Linked DNA regions of Xenopus tropicalis. The protein of the gene in region 1 interacts with the protein of each later gene in a pairwise test. Links are inferred from orthologs where the notes say so. Each region holds a gene or a part of one and is shown on either strand. Other genes may lie near its edges. The genes, in order: ralbp1, amotl2, tsfm, gse1 and rac1.

Region 1 (3,514 bases):
CATTTCTGTCACACAGGAGTTTCTTTTAAACTGTTTACACCGGGAACTTCAGGCTGGAATAAAGGACCTGTCCAAAGAAGAGCGGCTCTGGGAGGTGCAGAGGATTCTGACTGCGCTGAAAAGGAAGCTCAGAGAAGCAAAAAGACAGGTGTGTAAGGTTTATAGGCTATTCCTCTCCTGCCAGTGCAGCATCTTTATAGCATGAATGCCCAAACTCCAACAATGTATTCTCTTGTGTGGGGATTGGACAAGTACCAAAATACTGGATATATGTGGCACGTGAAGAATGGGGCCATGGACTTGGCCAGCACAGCTGCACGTGTTTCACATGCTCTTTTTGTGTTCTTTCTGAGCTTTTAAAATAACTTTTAGAAGGCAATTGTAAACCATTACTTTCTTACCATTTCAATTAGGTGATTGTAGGGATGTATCTGTCATAAGATAATGTGAGACCTATTAAAGAAATTCCCACTTTCCTGTCTTCTCTTCTTCCCTCAGAAGAGGAAGCTGCTGTAGTGAGAATTCACAAAGGTCCTGGCTTGTGACAGTCAGTGGTCAGTTTTTATATAAATACAATTGTAACATTTAGCTAGACTGAGACAAACAGTGGATGGAGGAATAAAATGCATAGAAAGCATAGTTTATTTAGTTTTGTTGCAAGATCCACTTTAGGCCACACTATATTGCTAGCTATATTCCCATATTTGAACTGAGTGTGATGCCCCAGGATTGCCTCTGAACAAAATCCATAGATCTCATACCAAAACCACAGAGCTTCCAGAAGTGTAGGGGGTTCAACCCCCAGGTTGAAAATAGGTTAGTCCAGATATAAGGCTTGTAAGAGACAAACCAAAGAGCAACTGTGATGAGAACTGTGTTTCTGTAACTTTATTAAAAGCAAAAGTGCTGTCCTGCCAAATGTTGCACCTCAAAGGACCGTCTGAACCAGAAAAGTACTATACTTACAGTGCAACTTACAGTCAGGGCAGTGTTGTTGGTTATTATCTATAGAGATGTTATTATCTATAGAGCCTACAGAGCTTTGTTAAATCTATGTGCCTGCTTAGTAGAGAATCAAGGGATAGCTAAAGCAGCAGGCACTATATAGTAATTAAAAATTTAAAATGGCTTTGAAGTTATTTGTAAATGTAATGGCCATATCTATCACTTGCTGTTCTCTGCACTGATGCTTCTGACTCCTTAAACAGCATAGCAAAAGCCAGCTGCTCAACTAACATTATTTTAAGAGTCAGAAGCAGGAGCCTGCTTTGCCCAGGGCTTAAGGGGAGGCGACGGAGCCTGCAAACAAATTATGGGCCTAATATAGGCCTTTGCATGGTCAGGAGAATCAGCAGAGAACCCCTTTGTTTAAATACTGCACTCCACTTATATTGCCAAATGTGCAGACTTTTTTGGCACGATGTGCACACTGAGCGACAATTTCATTCTTTTGCCAGGACTGTGAAACAAAGATTGCACAGGAAATTGCCAGCCTCTCCAAAGAGGATGTTTCAAAAGAAGAAATGACAGAAAATGAAGAAGAGGTTCTCAATATACTACTTGCACAGGTATATGCAGCAGATGAAAGCATAGGATCAGCCGACTGGAAATTGTATTTCTCCACTGCAATATCTCAGTCATAATGTAGCGACCACCATTCACTATTTCTACATAGCAACGCTGCTAACTTGGCCTGCATAGGGTTAGCCATAAAGGGGCACCCTTAGCTATTTTGTAAAATATGTATGTATGTGGTGAATCAAGAGTCATTGCTGCCAGAACTAAGGTAGAAGGAAAAAGACAGAATATCCCGCATGAGATAGAAAGAATATATGTTTAAATCAATGGCATGCTACATTTACCATCCTTGCAGGCATAATCTGGGGATCTATACAATTTAGCAGATGAGTTCAGTTACCTTTGAATTTCAGTCTTTATTAGAAATGTAGACAGGGGACACGCAATCCGATTACAATAAAAACACTATTCCCCCAAATGTGATAAAAGGCACATAGTTTGCCCAGGTGCAGTAACCAATGGCAACCAGTAAGAGGTTTGTGTTTAACTAGGTAGCCAGTGAATGCTATGTACTATAGCTAATGTGACATTTAGCAGTCATTGCATCTTTTACATAACCCCACATAAATTTAGTGAATAGTTTTGCTAGACATTGCATCATTGTAGCAGTTCTTTTGTTATAATTAGCTTGCTATGTGTGTATGGTGTGCCTGATAATAGGTCTTCTGTATCCTATGTATGTCTAACATATTTTCCAGGAGAATGAGATTCTGACAGAGCAGGAGGAACTTGTGGCAATGGAGCAGTACCTTCGTAGACAAATTGCTACAGAAAAAGAAGAAATAGAGCGCCTCAGAGCAGAAATTTCTGAAATTCAAAGGTATTGCACACTCACACTCAGATTAGAACCAACATTTCCTGAAGTAATTTACAACTAGACTCTACACGTGCATATACATATATCAGACATAAGGTTTTTGCTTATAGATTTGGGGGAATTACGGTATACAAATACTCCTATAGGAGCAGCTAAATATTGCCTATAGGGCACATATGAACCCAGTTGTACAGTAGCCATATAACTGTATGTGATGTGCTCTTTTCATTATAGGAGCTAGTAACTAATATGTTTGAATTATGAAAGCGTTGAATAATGCCAGGAGTACCACTCTTTATTACACTAGACCGACTATTTGCATCACACCCAGCTGCACACAACAATCAACATTACTGCTATTCCAGCTGGCCATAACTGCTATATAGCTAAATACACAAATCTAGCTCATATCTAGAACTAATCTTACCTTTGATCCCAGAAAAACTTGAAATAACAGAACTGGCCAATATTTTCCAGCCGCCAACAACAACACGGTCGAAGTGAAACAGAAGAGTATTCCTCAGAGAGTGAGAGTGAAAGTGAGGATGAAGATGAACTACAATACATTTTAGAAGATCTGCAGAGGCAGAATGAAGAGCTGGAGGTAATTTGAAATGTCTATTGCTATATAATATAGCTGCTTTAACTTATTACCTACTGTGTTATAGTGCCAGCACACTGTCAGTATTTATCCCATTTCCATTGTACAGATTACCAGCCATTGATTGGTCATTGTTGCTTGCTGACCAGTCCTTAGGTGGCACTTACCCCAGTCTATTGTAATATTTGCTTATCTTCAGAGAAGATACAAGTGTTGGTGATTATCCCTGACCCTGGATTTCACATTCATTAGGAACACTGGGATACAAGCCAGGATCTCTGCTGGGTTCTTAGACTTACGTTCTGTCTCTTTCATCAGATCAAGAATAATCATTTAAACCAGGCAATTCATGAGGAAAGAGAGGCCATCATTGAGTTGCGGGTGCAGCTCCGGTTGTTACAGATGCAGCGTGTGAAATGTGAGCAGCTGCAGGAGGAAGAAGAGCTTGGGAAACACAGTGTCCGATCCCAGCTGCCGAGAGACAACCTCCCCGAAACAAAAGCCCCAAAAGATCAGCC
Region 2 (4,158 bases), on another chromosome or scaffold:
AGCACTTAGCTGCAATGTGTTCAGTCTGGGCATACCAGTTATAGCCGTAGAGATAATTGTGGAAAGGTCTGCCATAAACTATGACCTACTGTCATTTATTTTCATCAAAGGGAAACAGATCAGCCCCTTGACGGACAGTAAAGAAGCCCTTCCTGGCCAAGCAGAAAGTGGCTTTTTTTATGTTACAACAGGCTATTTTCTCAGTTGTAAGCTAGGTTCCATGCCAACGAGCACCATAGATCTGTAGCCACTGATATGAGACAATGGCTTAATTGGAATAGCAAGCTGTATAGCCAGTGAATACAATAGCACCTCCTGCGTATAGCATTCTTACCCAACTCTGCTCGGGGTCCGCGGGCATTATCTATTTCTAACAGAGAGTATATGTGCCTGAATATCTGCCAAAATAAAATGTGTAGTGGCTGGCTATGCTTAACGAGGGAATAGTATCAATTTCTGATTCATTTTGATTTTCACCACAATTCAGCATTGTACCCCAGAGTATCACCCAGGGGCATTGCAGAACCCAGTACCACTCAGCGGCCTAGTTGATATGACCCCCACACTTTTAGTTTTTTGCATCGGAGCAGGTCAGGGGGGGATGCATTTCTCTAGCAAATCTGAAATTCCTATTTAAAAATTAGAATATTTGCTCTTGAAGATATACTGGGGGGGGGGGGGGCAAAAATATTTAGTTTTTTGGGTCTGAGCAGGTCAGGGGGGATGCATTTCTCTAGCAGAGCTGCAATTCCTATTTAAAAATTAGAATGTTTGAATGAAGATATATCAGGGGAGGGGGCACAATAGTAACTTGTAGTGTGCAGCTGCCTGAGGTAAATTTCCCAACTGCCCTTATGGCAGCAGCGCCACAACTGCACTGTAATTGTGGGGCAATATTAAATGGTGCCACTTCTGGTGTCATTAAACAGAATCATGGTAAAATTGGCTTGGAGCAAAGTCAGTTGTGTCCATGGAAGCAAGGGGGGGACCAGGAATTACCACAAGCTCTATTTAAAAAAATCTGATCTCTAAGTCTGAAAGATGTACCCAGGCGGTATTCTCGTTTGATGTACAGTTATTATGAGCTTCCGTGCCTGTTATTGTAAGGCAGTGCGGACAGCACAATTAGGCGCCTCATAATTAGCCGCCATTATACAGAAACATGTAATAACAACAGTAATGCGTGCTCTCTGCTAGCGGCTCCAACGCGGGGAGATCTTCCGCCCCCAGCGGCCGCTCACTGGAGTGCAGCCCGGAGGGAAAGTATGAGAGGAGGCGGGCAGAATGCTGAGTGGAGGAGGGAGGGAGAAAGGTTATGTGTGGTTATAGCTTTATCCCAGGGGGAGCCTGAAACTCTCACATTCCGCGCATAGCAAAGCTATTGAAGCACTAGAGCGGCGTGAGTGCTGCGGGATCAGTCTGCTCAGCGCTCTCAGGCAGCACACAGCTCACTGCGCACAGGGAAAGTACGGGCACAGTCGCACCGACACAGTCGCACCGAGAGCCCAGTCTGCTGCGCACACACTGGCTATGCTCGGGTGAGTACGCTCTTTCCTACACTCTGCCCTGCGCTTGCTTTTACCTTTATTTTCTGTTTTTATTTGCGCACTGTATGTACATATCGTACCCCCGGCGCATTACTGCGGTCTGTGAGTCACATGTCTCGCAAGCAGCTAGAATAAGGACAGTTGTTTATTATACATGGGTACCATTGCTACACAGTCTTTCATTAAGCTGGTGTCCCGCAGAACTTGCAATCTAAAAGCTGCTGCTCTAGAATGAATAGAAATACTTCTTGTGTATGTCTGTCTGTATTTATATTCAGTTTCTTGTATATGCAATAATGCTCAATGTAGATAATGTATAATGTTTGTGTTGGTACCTGAGCAACTCCCAGCACCCACAGCTTTAGTCTATGTGCAAACTGTTGTGTTTCTATATATGTATGCATGTGTATATACCGTATGTCTTTGTCTCTATAGACTTATCTATAGAATAAAAGCCCCCAATGACTGGTCATTTGTCACAATGGTATTTATGTAGGGTGCTGTTGGTGCCTGAGAAATTCTGGGGGCCTGTGATGCCTGAGTATTGTATATTCCTTGTGTACAAAGTGTCATCTAAGGGACAACATTTATGTCATTTTAAAGGAGACAAAGGGGGGATTAGCAGGTGTTTTGCCACCTTAGCCATGGCAGCAGCAATCCACCAACTATATTCTATTCTTATTATGATTCTTGTTTTTAGAACGGGCCTGTGTGGGGTAGAGGGAAGGCTGCAATTCACAAAGAATGTCAATTGCAACACAAAGAAGCCAGTGATGTCACTTCTTAGCTATGCTAAAGGTGCTCTCGCCTCCTACGTGCTGGAAAATATTTTCCCGTAAGAGACAAGGGAACGTTCAGGTTTGGCCCTATGTACATACCTATATATATATATAAATATATATATATATATATATATATATATATATATAAATATATTTTAGAAGTTTTAGTGAAAGGGGGAATTTGTTGTGATGGCTATTTATACTAAATCTGCTACAAGGAGTGTTTAACAGCATTAAAAGATTCTTACATGCCGTATTTTTGTTGGTTAGGGATGGAATCCCAGTATTTATTTTCTTTGCTATGGAGGCCTGAAACTAAATAAATACTGGCACTGTTTTTGGTTGTTCAACTTCAACTAGGAAATGTGGAATTCAAGGGGAGGGCTATAAGGCAGAGGCAGCAGGGGGGCATACCATAGATACAGTGGGCTTTATCTACATAGAAAGGGAGGTGTGTGTATATGTGTGGACAGGAGGGGGGGGATTAGTAAAGGGAGGAAATTCCATTCCTCTGATATCCATCACCTCCAAAAAAACAAGCAGTTAATTGCCTAAAAATCAGCAGCTTACAAGTCAATGAAGCTCTATTTCTTAGCAAAGTAAGTAGAACGTGTGTATGTTGTATTGGAAAATCCAGTTAGAATCCTCCAGGGTTCTTTGTTCCTTTGTGAACATGACTTTTAAGCATTGTGAACATTGACTTGATGTTATGATGAGACATAAAACCATCACTGTCACATCCTTCTTGTGTTATTTGGAAGAATTTTGTCTTAAAACATATATTTTTTTCTTGTTCCACAGGCTCTCCCCAACAGTCGAATAGGATTATAATCCATTACTTATATTTTCCACTTGACTGAGGATTTATTTACTTGTTAAGGATGAGAACAGCCGAGGATTCCTCTGGAACGGTTCTACACCGTCTCATTCAGGAGCAACTAAGATATGGGAATCTTAGTGATAACCGTACATTGTTGGCTATCCAGGAGCAGGCTCTGCGGGCTGGAGGTGGCAGTGGAAGTCCCAGATCATCCCTAGAAAGTCTTGAACAGGAAGAGATTCAAATGGCTCCTTCAGCAAGGCAAGAACCCCAAGGCCAGGAGTATCATTGTGACTATTTCTACTTGGAAAACCCCATGTATAAGGCTCATGAATTTCAACACAAAGGCGAGGAATTGCCAACTTATGAAGAAGCCAAAGCGGCACTCTCACAGTACTATGCAGCCCAGAACACCCAGCCAGTGGAACATGGTGGTCATCGGCAAGACCAATCCCTTAAGGATTTGAAACATGGCCATGTCAGGTCCTTAAGTGAACGTCTGCTGCAGATGTCTTTGGAGCGAAATGGTGCCAAGCCTCAAAACCTTATGAGCTCCTCTCATAGCTTCCCACAGCTTTCAAGGCATTACCAGCTATCGGTGGCTCGTGAGCAACAGGAAGATAGGGGACAGTATAGGGGTGCTCCTCCGGAGTACCCTCATTTTAATCAACCAGTACAGGACATACGAGGATACACAACAGAACAAAGGCATTATTCTGGGGAACTGCCTGTATATCACCAGTCTGAAGTCAGGTGAGCACAGACTTCTAACCATACTATGCAAACATCTTCACGATGTAGATGGAATATCTCTACTGTAGGATTGCATTTAAAGTTTACCCTTTAAAACATCTGTCAACTGGAGCATGTTTATTTATAATGGCATGTTGGCTGTAGATCAATATTATGGAATTCCAGCCATCCAGTAGTTATTGTCCACTGGCCAGCCACAGTATTGTAAAGAGTGCGCAAATACGTAATTTATGTACGTAGAGAAGTATTTGTTTTT
Region 3 (4,260 bases), on another chromosome or scaffold:
AACAAAGAAAATGGTATTTATTTTATACTTATTTATACTTAAGGCTCAACAAGGAATGTCCAAGTGTTAAGTATGACTAGATTCTGTTGATTCTGCTACTTCCCCACACTCAAAGCGTATAAAGTCCAGCACATTTATTCCTCGTGGCTGCAAATACTGCCCCACGGTTAGACTGGGCTCCAGAAGAAAGGACTGTGCCAGCATCTTTGTCTCTGTCTCCCCACTAGATTCATCCTCAAGGGAACCTACCGACAGAGGGTTCATTCCCACAACATGCTGGCCCAATCTGCGTCCAACTTCAGATATGTTGCTCTTAGGGTTACTGTCGGAATCTTTGCATATCACTAGAGCTCCATATTTTCCAAATGTGATATTAGATAGGGATGGTACATCTGCTACAAGAATGCCATGCATATAAGAGCCTATGAAGATATCAGAGGGAGTCTTCACCCAAGCAGCTCTCTTCATAGTCATATTTTCACCTAACTTCCCTTCATGGAACAAGCATGATTAGAAGAAAATAGAATTAATAAAAGGATATGCTATTTTTATATGATGCATTATTACAACTGACAAGAAGATACAAAAACTACAAATATCAGCAGTTATTGGATAGACAGAATAGATACTCAGATTTATGTAAAGTAACAGAATGTAAGTCACAGAAAAAACTGGTCACGGTCACCTTATAGGTTTAATAGATGGAAATGGTTGGCTACATGGCACATGAGCTATATCATCATGCTTAAAATATTATTTTTCTTTCTAAAGTGCCATATTTTGCAGCATTTTACAGAGATTAAACACATTCAATGTGCTCATTTTTAGCTAAGGTGCTTTTGGGTGTATTATGTCCCTTTTACTATAATAAGAAATCGACAAAATGCCATTTCCTATGTTGCCATGACTTTGTTTATTCAAGGAAGTGCATTCTAAACAGATAAAGCAGTTACACACTATAAAATCAGGAGAAACTTTACCTATTGCCAAAGCAAGTTGATCTTTTAATAATGACTCCTCAGCTTTCATTTGTAAGAGTTCTTCACCGCTTAGAAAACCCTTAGATAAAACCAAGAGAAAGACATATATTTACAGTAAAGTAGACAATAGCAGCGTGAAAAAGACTGAAAATATTAAGAAAACACTGTGTTTAACAGAGTGAATTTCATTTTATGAATTCCCTTGAATTATATGTCTAATATAAAAAGACTGATGATATTACCATATTTATAACTGTGGTTACTGAATGCAGAAGCCCTATTTTCTAGCACTTCCAAGGCAGTTGGCAGTTGGTACTAAGTTGGTAGTATGAAGTAGAGATCTAAATACTAACCTTTACATAAGAAGACATGTTCTCCTGATGACTCTGGCAATGCCTCAGAGTGCTCACAGCCACCTGCTGAACTAGCTGCTGAAACTTTGAATTCCTGGCAACAAAGTCAGTTTCGCAGTTAACCTGAAAGAATATTTGTTATGAAGCCACCATTTTTATAGATAAGGTTTCTTCAATAGAGCAACTAAAATATGAGCATTACAGGCATTTAAATAAATGCTATCGCAAAATTAATTTATGAACTACTACTACTACTCCTGCCTCTTACAATGCAGCAGATGCCAGTTCTTCTAGCAGGACTCCAGTTCCCACAATGCTTTGCATGATCTGTCATTAAAAACCCCAGTGAACACGTAAGAAAGCCATTGTTGGAACTGGAGACTTGGCTGTAAGACATTTGGCTTCTGCCGCATTGTTTCAAGAGCCAGGAGTAGCAATTCAAAGAATAGATAGGCAAACAGGTGCCTTTTTAATTGCAAATAACTGTAACACTATTCCCCTCGTCATGCTTGTACACATGAGAAAAAACATTTGCCCATGGAAACTTTTCCTGACATTCTGGAAGGGGTTAACTTAAAAGCTAACTAAAAATTCAGACGTTCCCTCTGCATTCTCCAGATTATTTAACCCAATCCCTTAGACTTTTGCAGTGAGAGACACTCACTTCCACCATCACAGATGTGTTGCCATCTTGCAGCAGCCCCACAAGACCTTCTGTAGTTTTTCTTCCTTGAAGTTTGGAAGCCTTGTCCCAGCCTTCTTTCTGAGCTTGTTGGTGCAGCCACGTCTCTGCCTGTCAAAACAAAATGAATATGAGAAGAACGAGTGTGTGCACATATCAAATAGATGTGTGACAAGTATCGCTGTTGATATTCTTCCATCAAAGAGGTACAGCTAACAGAAGAAGGTTCTGCTGTAGATTTACAGGTGACTAAACCTGGAAATGTTTCCCTATTTTATGACATTCCCTGATAAGCAGCGAATATAACATGGCTGGGCACAGGCAGGCTGGCACCTGGTACTCCCCACACAGTTCATGAGGGAAGCATACTTCTACAATCACAATTCTTTCATTTTAACCTCTTACTTGTTTAAAATCATTGCTAAATTGTTCCAGAGCCTTCTTGCAGTTGATAAACGAGTAGCCCGTCCTCTTCCTGAGTTTCACCAGGAGCTCCTTGTCTGCTGCCAGTAGCCTCACGCCTGTGTGTAACAGTCCAACCTGCTGCCGCCACAACAACTAACAACACACCAACACAGAGGAGATGTTAGCACATAAGCATTTGTCTTTCACTACCAGTCACCGCTACAATCATTCTGCCTGTCTGCCCAGGCAACAGCCGCTATGTCCGAATGCCTCATTCCTCACCTTGGCACGCAGGCTGCTGCACAGCGCGGCCATGTTCCCTGAATATGACAAGACGCAATATGATGACGCAAATGTGCCCCTTTGTTCCTGTGCTTGTAACAAATAAAGTTGCATCTGTGAAGGACTAAAATTATGGTGTAGGCATAAGAACGAAGGGGATTTGAGGAAAAAGTTGTGTCACAACCATGTGACTAATATGTGGGCGGGAGAGTTGTGATGTCACGTAGATGTAGAATTGTGTGGCGCTAAGCGCTCAGCTAAAGAGGCTTTACTGGAGGGTTGCTGCAGGTGTGGGCTGCAGGGGATAGATTGATATGGCACTTATACTGTAATGTCACCCACTGTGACCTACAGCACCTACATTTGCCTATTTGTGTCTGTTAGTTACCCCTCCCATATAGATTGTAAGCTCTACGGGGCAGGGACCTCCATCATCTTGTGTTTCTGACTCTTATTGCAACTGTACCTTGTATTTATTTGTATTTATTGTTGTACTTTGTATTTATCCATTATCTTTAACCCCCTGTTTGTATTAATGTATTCTACTGTACAGCGCTGCGTACATAAGTAGCGCTTTATAAATAAAGATATACATACATACATACATATATATACAGGATATACATAGGGGCACATTTACTAACCCACGAACGGCGAGTGCGTCCGATTGCGTTTTTTTCGTAATGATCGGTAATTTTGCGATTTTTTTGGCGTCTTTACGATTTTTGCGTAAAAACACGAGTTTTTCGGCGTCTTTACGAAAGTTGCGCAAAGTCGCGATTTTTTCGTAGCGTTAAAACTTGCGCGAAACGTTGCGCCTTTTAAGTTTTAACGCTACGAAAAAGGCGCGACTTTGCACGCAAGTGTTAACGCTACGAAAAAATAGTGACTTTGCGCAACTTTCGTAAAGACGCCGAAAAACTCGCGTTTTTACGCAAAAATCGTAAAGACGCTGAAAAACTCGCGTTTTTACGCAAAAATCGTAAAGACGCCGAAAAAAATCGCAAAAAATACGAAAAAGTCGCAAAATGTTCGTTTCCAATCAGAATTTTTCCAATTCGGATTCGAAATCGTGTCTTAGTAAATCAGTCCCATAGTGTGACATGTTTGGGGCTGGTGGTGGCTGCGCTGGTATGTGCAGGATTGATGGAGTAGAGCAGTACGACTAACCCTACAACTGACAGCTGATTTGGTCACTTGGGGTACATTTATTGCCAGACCATTTTTGAACATTCTTTTTGAACATTCTGCGCCTTTTTTTTACTTTTTTAATTTACCTCAGGAAATAATAAATTGGGGTTTTTTTGGGGAACAACCTGAGCTTTCAAAATATGCTAGAATTTTTATGTAATTTCACTTCTGAAACAAGAGGCTTCTAAATGTCTAAAAAATAAAGAAAATATTTTTTATCTTGACATAAACAAATATATCAGAAACAAATTATTTTATGTACAAAAACTTGGAAAGTCCAATGTCTTCTGAAGTTTTATGGAGATTTCAGACTCGGCCGTGTCAGACTGGCCCCCAGGATACCAGCAAAACAGGTTGTCATGCACTG
Region 4 (4,150 bases), on another chromosome or scaffold:
GTTGCCTCCCTTGACATTTTCCAGCAATTAATTTAGATTGCCGCAAGTAATTTGTTTTACTAGCAAGCATCTTAATGTTATGTTATGGCAAATTATTTTTGGGAGACTTCAATTTAATTAAAGGGCAAATGGAGCATCTGCCCAGGGCTCACAGTTGTATTATGCCTAATAATGCCTTATGCCTTTATCTGGGGCCTTGGCATGTCTGATATTGTTCTTTGCTGGAATCTTGGGTGAAGATTTGGAATTGGGGACAAATCTGATATGCCATTTTTTTTCTGGTGACCCAATTACTCTCAATGTAAAAAGCATAAATTGCTTTGGAAATATTTTTTCGTTTTCCTTTAATGTTAGGGCACACGGTGCGGATATCTGCTTCTATCAGCCCTATGTTTTTTAGCCAACTTTAGAGAAGCAGATCCGCTTGCCTATGCTCCTTTGTGTGCCTGAATAAAAAACTACGGCGACTGCCGTGTGGGCACACATAGCGGAGTGGATTGGACCTTGAAAACATCTGCATATTGTGTGAGTGTAACTGTAATTGTATGGTGATGGTACTGGAGGATGAGTTTGCACAGGATGATGGGAATCGCCAATTGGATCTTTGCCCAATTCCCACCAAGGCCTTAAATCTGCCCTGCTACTAGGCCATTCTTTAGCTGCAGGGTCTGAAATCTGCAGAAGAAATGGATATGCCCAATATATACTGTAGCCAAAGGCAGGGCCATGCAACACTGTACAGTGTGTTCTATAGTCTCCATCCATCTATCAATTATACCTCTCAGGTATTGTGGAAGTTGAAGTTTAAGGATAGCTGGATAAAAACTAGCTGAAGAAATTTAACAGGAAACAGTTAAGCAAGGGGAAATGGCCCTGGTGGAGTTCCCAGGAGGTAGAGGGGGTCTAACTGGGACATTAACTAAACAGTTTCAGTATATATTATTAAAAATCAAAATGTCTTATTTACAAGTTTAGGGGAGTGGGCACTAAATTGAACTTGCCATGAGGCACAATAACATTGGGTCCAGTGGTTAAGAAGAAGGTATTGGTACAGTGCAATGGTATGGTAACAAATAGGGACTACCCTTACAGTATTACTGGTATGTCTCCCCTGCAGCCCTCTAGGAGTTGCAGTTAAACAACAGCTGGAAGGCAGTATGATGGACATTCCTGCTAGATAGCCCGGCATGTTCCTACTGTCCCCCACGCTGCGGCACTGGAGGGGTTACACATCGAGCCAGGCCATGTGCTCTGCCAGGGGGCGGTGCTGGGGGGCTGATCCCATGTACTGCGCAGCCCACAGCGGGCTTACAGATTCTGGGGAACTGAGTGTCAGAAGCCCAAGTGGGGGCGGGTCGCTATCTATCCGGGTCACCTCACCCCCTCTCACCCCTTACCCATTGGAGAAACTTTGCACAAACTCCGCCGTGCTTTGGACTTGAGGGGGGGGGAATCCGCTGCCCCGGGTGGCATGAGACTGGCAGCGGGGGGCTTGGCACAGAGGGCATGAGTGATACCGGATCCGTCCCGATGTCCCGTAAGCAACGATTAATGGCAGCTTTGGAGGAAGATGAAGGCACGACGCCTGGAACGGGTGAGCAGACGGGACTGGTTTTTTGCTTTATCTGCGGAGGAGGGGTGCCCAGGGGGCGAGAGGTGAGGTTGCCCGTCCGGTGTCCTGCTCGGGAAGGTTGCGCATTTTTCCCGTTCCTACAGCAGCAGGAGCCGGCCCCTGGGGCAGAACCGCTGAGCCCGGGGGGGTGCGTCCGAGTGTGTGCCGTGTGCCAGCGCTTCTTGGCCGCTCAGTGGGACGCGTTTGAGCGCAGCCGGACACCGCTGGAGAAGCGCATGTACTGGCTCAAGCGGCCCTACCAGTGCGGCGGGGACGGAGCTCGAAATAACCCCAGGGACTGGAACCCCAATTACGACTCTGACCTCTCAGACCTGTCCGACAATCCTCTAAGTGAGCCCGAAGAGAGCGGGGAAGCCCGGCCGGAACCCACACAGGGAAACAGGAGACAGTGGGCATCCACGGTACCTAGCTTGGCACCCCAACACTGCGCCCCCTGCCGGGAATCTCCTAATGACAGAGCTAGGCGCTTGGGATCAGAGACTGACCACCAGACCCACGGGAGAGAGAACGGACACCTTCCTGGGCTCTGTTACATTTGTGGGGGGCACAGCGCCGGGCACACTATACACGTACAAAAACAAGAACACACGCCTGAAACGCCCTTCTTCCCTTTCCTTTGGCTCCACACGCCTCCGCCCGGTGCGCAAGCCATTACACCTGGGGGCAGTGCCCGTGCCTGTACGCGCTGCTTCTCCTCCCTGATGCAGCAGTGGCACAGCTTTGACGTTGCCAGTGTACCTGTTTTACAGCGACTGTATGTGGTGCCTCTTCATGCCAACAGTACCCCAGAAAAAGCAGCTCCTCAGAGACCAGTGGAATCTCACCCCAGTGCGCCAGTCCTGTGCTACCTGTGTGGGGAGGACTGCGCCAACCAGGTGAAACTGGTGCAATCCCGGATAACAAATGGCAATGCCAAAACAAATATGCATTTTCCTTTCATTGGCCAGTTGCCCTGCCCACCTAGCTCCAGGGGGGTTAACCAACAAGGGGAGATACAAAGTTGCAGAAAATGCTACGGGGTGTTGGAAGACATATGGTCTATCTATAGGGCATCCCAGAATGAGGAGCTCATCAACTCTGCACAAAGCTTTTTGGCAAGGTACCATCAGGTGTTCAACTCTTCAGATCCTGGTTGTTCAGGGGTGTCTCATAACAGGAGGGGAGAAGCCATAAGTAGCCACACTGGCCATACATCTATATGCTATGTATGTGGAGCAGAGCTGGGGCCAGGTTTGGAGTATCAAGTAAGCATAAACCCACCCAGTAGGTATGGAGACAAGGAGCCCTTCTTTCCTTTTTTAACAGTCTACCCTCCTGCACCTAGAGCTAGGCCTGCCGACTCTACTGGTCTTGTTTCCACCTGTGGTCTTTGCTACCACGACCTTCTCGGACAGTGGTTTCAGCAGGAGATGAAGTCACAACAACCTAGCAGTCCCTGGTCAAGACAGTATCAAGTGGAGACTTTTGTCTGCTTCTTTTGTAGACAGGAGAAAAAGAGAATGCTAGGATTAAAGGCTGTGCAGGTGGCTAGGTTGCCTATCTTTTTATTTGCCCCAAGGATGGCCAACACTTTATTAGTGGATGATGGGAAACAACTTCTTATTGGAGCTTGTATTGAATGCAGACCACTGGCGTTAGCTGGCATCAGTACAACACAGAGCGGGGCTATGGTACCAAGCCAGAAGGTAAGAAGCTCTCTATTGATAATTCAATACCACTCCATTCATTTATTCGACAGTCAGAAATGGATGTATAGGTGTGTTAGATTTACAGTAGAGAAGTGAAATGCTTCTGAAGGATAGGAGTCACTGTAAGCTGGGGAAGCCAACATACTATATACAACCTTTTTCACTTATTGGTGATGTCAAGAGGTAATGCTTTTTTATGAAGCCTAATCTATGTGAATACGTTTATAAGATTACTTACTGTATAAGAAAATTGTGTTGCTGAATGTAGGACACATATCTTAGACTCATTTTGACTGGGATAAGGTAACAGCACCTTTTGAATTTTGTTGCTGTGGGCCCTTACTGTAACAGTTATATAAATTGGTCACCTGTTTTTGGTGCTGAAGGTTTTATGTTTGAGAAAAATTAAACCATTCATTTAGCAGTAGACTTATTGAGAAACCAACCTTTTTTCTGTCATTGTGAGACTCAGTTGAAGACTGCAATACTTACACCATGCAGTCTTTAAAAGAGAAGTGTTATATTATACATAAGTTTAATGCAACTCAAAGTACAGGTAGTTGAAGCTGCTCACCTAAGCATTTCTGTAGTGACAACCAAGGCAGCAATCTGAAAACTGTTAAGTGACAATACAAAAATTAATGGATTATTGTTACATTTGTTTGGGGCACCACTCCTGGATTCATCTTTGCAGCAGCAGAACAGCCATTGGTTAGTTCTAATGATAGATCACCATTATAATGACAGTTCTGCCAAAAATCAATTTTCACAATTACTGATTTGGAAGTGTTTCCCCATATTGCCATAAATATAAAATTCATTAAAGGGG
Region 5 (3,514 bases), on another chromosome or scaffold:
TGTATAGCCTGTTGCATATAGCACCTGGCAACACAAGCTTCAGAGTAAGAGTCGTCACCAACAGTGCATCAGTCACTTGGTCTTTTTCCAATACACCTTTATAGGTTATTGGGTTGTCTGCATGTCAAATGAACAGCAAAGTGTTATATTTTATGAAGCAACTGAATAATCAATGTTTTCTTTTTTCCTATAGGGCTGTAGGTAAAACATGTTTGCTGATCAGTTACACTACCAATGCTTTTCCTGGGGAATATATCCCAACTGTGTAAGTATTCCGTTCTAATACCTTATTTCAAATCCATGCCTCTGTTTATTTAAATAATGTTTTCCTTTTGCTGGGTGGTTATTTTCTGCCTTGGTAGCATGTCATATCTTGTATTTAACAGTTTTCACTGTCGGCTAGGAAACATTGGTATGTAAGGCCGTTAAAAGATGGTGCAACCAGCATGACCAAACAGATGCTTGCTCCTTTAACTGCATTTGATTTGGGTAATGAGAAATTACTGAATAAAGGCACGTGTACAGGCCTGACATTAGAAGTCACCCCATCCCTAATTTCTCCCCTCATCCATTACTTAAAGTGGTTGTTCACCTTTGACTTAACTTTTAGAGTGATGTAGAGAGTTATATTCAAAGACAATTTACAATGGCTGTACAATTGCAGTTTGCCGTTCAGCAGCTGTCTGGTTGCTAGCGTCCAAATTACCTTAGCAACCAGGAAGGGGTTTGTATGAGAGGCTGATATATGAATTGGATAGGGCTTGAACATAAAAATAAATACAGGTATAGGATCTGTTATCCAGAAAGTTCTGCATTATGGAAAGGCCATCTCACTTAATTTCTAAAAATTGATTTTCCTTTTTCTCTGTAATATTAAAATAGAACCTTGTACTTGATCCAAACTAAGGTATACTTAATCCTTATTGGAGGCAAAACAATCCTATTGGGTTTATTAAATGTTTAAATAATTTTATTAGCAGACTTAAGGTAGGAGATCAAAACTACGGAAAGATCCCTTGTCCAGAAAACCCCAGGTCCCGAGCATTCTGGATAACAGATCCCATACCTGTTATAAAAAGTAACAATGAAATTGTGTTCTCACAGAGCAATAGTATTTTGCCTGCTGGAGTTACTGAAAGCTGCAAAGAGAAGAAGAAAGCAAATACTTCAAATGCTATTAAAGAAAAATAATGAAGACTAATTGGAAAGTTGTTTTTGGCCATTCTACAACATACTAAGTGCTATCTTAATGGTTACCCGGCCCTTTAAAAGTGGGTCTAGCTTTGTATCTGCTCTTGGACCACTTTGGTATATAGCCCATAATGGTGAATGTGTTAACGGACAACCAAAACATTTTAATTACCCTGCAGGAACTGTGTACATCTAGCTTTGCCCTTTGTGTCAATTGTTTTAGATGCATATGCTTGTTGTTAAAGGGGTTACAATATTCATATATTACCAGTTTAAGCATAAATAACGCAGTGCCAATTTGAGGCTTGGTGCCCTCCTTGTAGCCCGGTGCAGTGGAAGGCTCTGACATGAACATGCAGGCAGAATTCCCTGACTCTGGGAGTCTCTGGGCCCTGACTCATTAGTTGTGTGGGTGGCTCTAAAATTATCAGCATTTGCATCTCAGAGATGTCCTTGCTATCTGCACACTGCTTGCAAAACTTCTCCGCGCACAGGCACCCCCCCCCTGCAGCATATTCTTGTTTCTTTCATATTTTGTAAATGTTTTACCCCAATAAAGCTCCGTAAGGAATAGCAGCACAATGCTACATGATTGCTTTCAGACCACAGGGTAATGTTCTTCCAGGCTTAGTTACTACTTAGCTGTGCCTGGAAATGGAATTTCCATAAAGGAGAAGATGGACTTTACAGTAACTTCTAGTTACTAGAGCAAAATTATTAGCATTATTTATCTTTCTTTATTTTGTAAGGTGTTAGATTTATAAGCCTTTCTGTACTAGACTGCGATTGGTTGGGCTCACTGTAGCGAGTCTGGTACACTCGCGCACACACACAAACACTGCACGGTTTATTTTATTATTATTATTTATTAACAAGTCAGTGCTTATTGACAGACAGATGGAGTTATTTGTCGGCTATGGATGATTTGGGGTAATTACAGGAAAATATGAAAGAAGGGATTTTGACCAAATTACATAGAATCACTGCTTTATATGCGCTGATCCCAATTGTTCTTGGATACTAAAGGTGGCCATACACGAGCAGATCCGCTCGCTTGGTGATGTCGCCAAGTGAGCGGATCTTCACCCGATATCCCCACCTACGGGTGGGCGATATCGGGGAGGATTTAGGTAAAAAAAATAATAATCCGATCGTTTGGCCCTGGGGCCAAACGATCGGATTATGTGGGCAGCAATGGGGCAGTCGGCTCGGGGACCGCATCAACGAGCCGATGCGGTCCCCGATCCGACCGGATTTTCTAACCTGCCCGATCAATATCTGGCCAATTTCAGGCCAGATATCGGTCGGCCAGGCTGCTCTACTCTCTCCATACACGGGCCGATTAGCTGTCGAATCGGTCCAAGGGACCGATATCGGCAGCTATAGTTGGCCCGTGTATGGGGACCTTAAGGTAAACTAGGCCCTATGCCTATGTCATAATAAAAGTTAACGGTGAACAACCAGTTTGAATGGATTTTTTTGGATGCTTTGTCACTTATGGGAGAGGCGGTTACCAGTGGGACGCTGACTGCTATGTCATTGCCCTAAGCCATCTGCATATGGCTTCATAAAATAGTTGCAATTAATTTCGTAGAAAAATATTGAACTGTTTTTGTGGCGATTCAGTGTCAAAAGTCTCCAGGTTTGGGATTATTCCTGGGGCCTGTGATGTCTCCAAAATGCTTCAAATTCTTCAGGGGTTGGTGGGTGAAAGGGAGTATCTTAAAGACCTTTTTATTTACTTTAAAGAGGCTACTGTCAGTCATAAACAAAGCCATAAAAGGTTTTGGCTGTAGGTGTATAGCTGCTCCGTATCTGTTCCTAGTTCCTAGCCGGTCACCCTGTCTGAATTATATTATAGGGATCAAACGGTTAAGTAGCATTAATCATTCCCTTCCCTTATATAGCAGTTCAGCATGAGGGCTTTGCTTATGGGCTTTTTCTTCTCCTTATTTCAGTTCCTGGGATACTTGACTACCCTCATTTTATATAACAAACTCCACCCATGGACTGCAGGGTCTGATAGTTGGATAATCTGAACTTTGTTCTTGTAGTTTTCTAAGCCCAGCAAATGCCTTTCCTGTGGGCTATTTTTTAGCTTCCTTGTTCCGTTTATAGCTGACAGTCGTTTCTGTTGTACTGTTTACCTACCTGTGATCCAAGGAAATAAACAAGGAGAAACTGCCTTTGTTCTGCCTGTTTAGACATGACGAGAGACTGTAACTTTCTTGTGTTACTGCTCATATAAAAACCTTGCTTTCCTTTCTCCATTTTAGTTTCGACAACTATTCTGCCAATGTTATGGTGGATGGAAAACCAGTTA

What was found.
Region 2: the proteins of ralbp1 (region 1) and amotl2 interact in binary tests that used the Homo sapiens proteins (3 or more experiments, as listed by UniProt). The two-hybrid records come from large-scale screens. The link is inferred for Xenopus tropicalis from reciprocal best matches to the Homo sapiens genes RALBP1 and AMOTL2.
Region 3: the proteins of ralbp1 (region 1) and tsfm interact in binary tests that used the Homo sapiens proteins (3 or more experiments, as listed by UniProt). The two-hybrid records come from large-scale screens. The link is inferred for Xenopus tropicalis from reciprocal best matches to the Homo sapiens genes RALBP1 and TSFM.
Region 4: the proteins of ralbp1 (region 1) and gse1 interact in binary tests that used the Homo sapiens proteins (3 or more experiments, as listed by UniProt). The link is inferred for Xenopus tropicalis from reciprocal best matches to the Homo sapiens genes RALBP1 and GSE1.
Region 5: the proteins of ralbp1 (region 1) and rac1 interact in a two-hybrid assay, tested with the Homo sapiens proteins (2 studies listed by BioGRID, with this or other methods). The link is inferred for Xenopus tropicalis from reciprocal best matches to the Homo sapiens genes RALBP1 and RAC1.

The regions. Positions count from the first base shown.
Region 1 is NC_030682.2:104,600,302-104,603,815, forward strand, and holds part of ralbp1 (ralA-binding protein 1), read left to right. Parts: intron 1-16; coding exon 17-148; intron 149-1,457; coding exon 1,458-1,568; intron 1,569-2,276; coding exon 2,277-2,398; intron 2,399-2,872; coding exon 2,873-2,999; intron 3,000-3,248; coding exon 3,249-3,514. UniProt on the Homo sapiens protein: Multifunctional protein that functions as a downstream effector of RALA and RALB. As a GTPase-activating protein/GAP can inactivate CDC42 and RAC1 by stimulating their GTPase activity.
Region 2 is NC_030681.2:130,254,001-130,258,158, reverse strand, and holds the start of amotl2 (angiomotin-like protein 2), read left to right. Parts: upstream 1-1,350; 5' UTR 1,351-1,538; intron 1,539-2,845; exon of another isoform or gene 2,846-2,928; intron 2,929-3,130; 5' UTR 3,131-3,210; coding exon 3,211-3,902; intron 3,903-4,158. UniProt on the Homo sapiens protein: Regulates the translocation of phosphorylated SRC to peripheral cell-matrix adhesion sites. Required for proper architecture of actin filaments.
Region 3 is NC_030678.2:141,927,014-141,931,273, reverse strand, and holds the start of tsfm (elongation factor Ts, mitochondrial), read right to left. Parts: upstream 2,811-4,260; 5' UTR 2,736-2,810; coding exon 2,703-2,735; intron 2,574-2,702; coding exon 2,421-2,573; intron 2,127-2,420; coding exon 1,998-2,126; intron 1,457-1,997; coding exon 1,334-1,456; intron 1,060-1,333; coding exon 981-1,059; intron 492-980; coding exon 67-491; 3' UTR 1-66. UniProt on the Homo sapiens protein: Associates with the EF-Tu.GDP complex and induces the exchange of GDP to GTP. It remains bound to the aminoacyl-tRNA.EF-Tu.GTP complex up to the GTP hydrolysis stage on the ribosome.
Region 4 is NC_030680.2:65,182,515-65,186,664, reverse strand, and holds the start of gse1 (genetic suppressor element 1), read left to right. Parts: upstream 1-1,349; 5' UTR 1,350-1,506; coding exon 1,507-3,318; intron 3,319-4,150.
Region 5 is NC_030685.2:25,465,041-25,468,554, forward strand, and holds part of rac1 (ras-related C3 botulinum toxin substrate 1), read left to right. Parts: intron 1-193; coding exon 194-265; intron 266-3,467; coding exon 3,468-3,514. UniProt on the Homo sapiens protein: Plasma membrane-associated small GTPase which cycles between active GTP-bound and inactive GDP-bound states.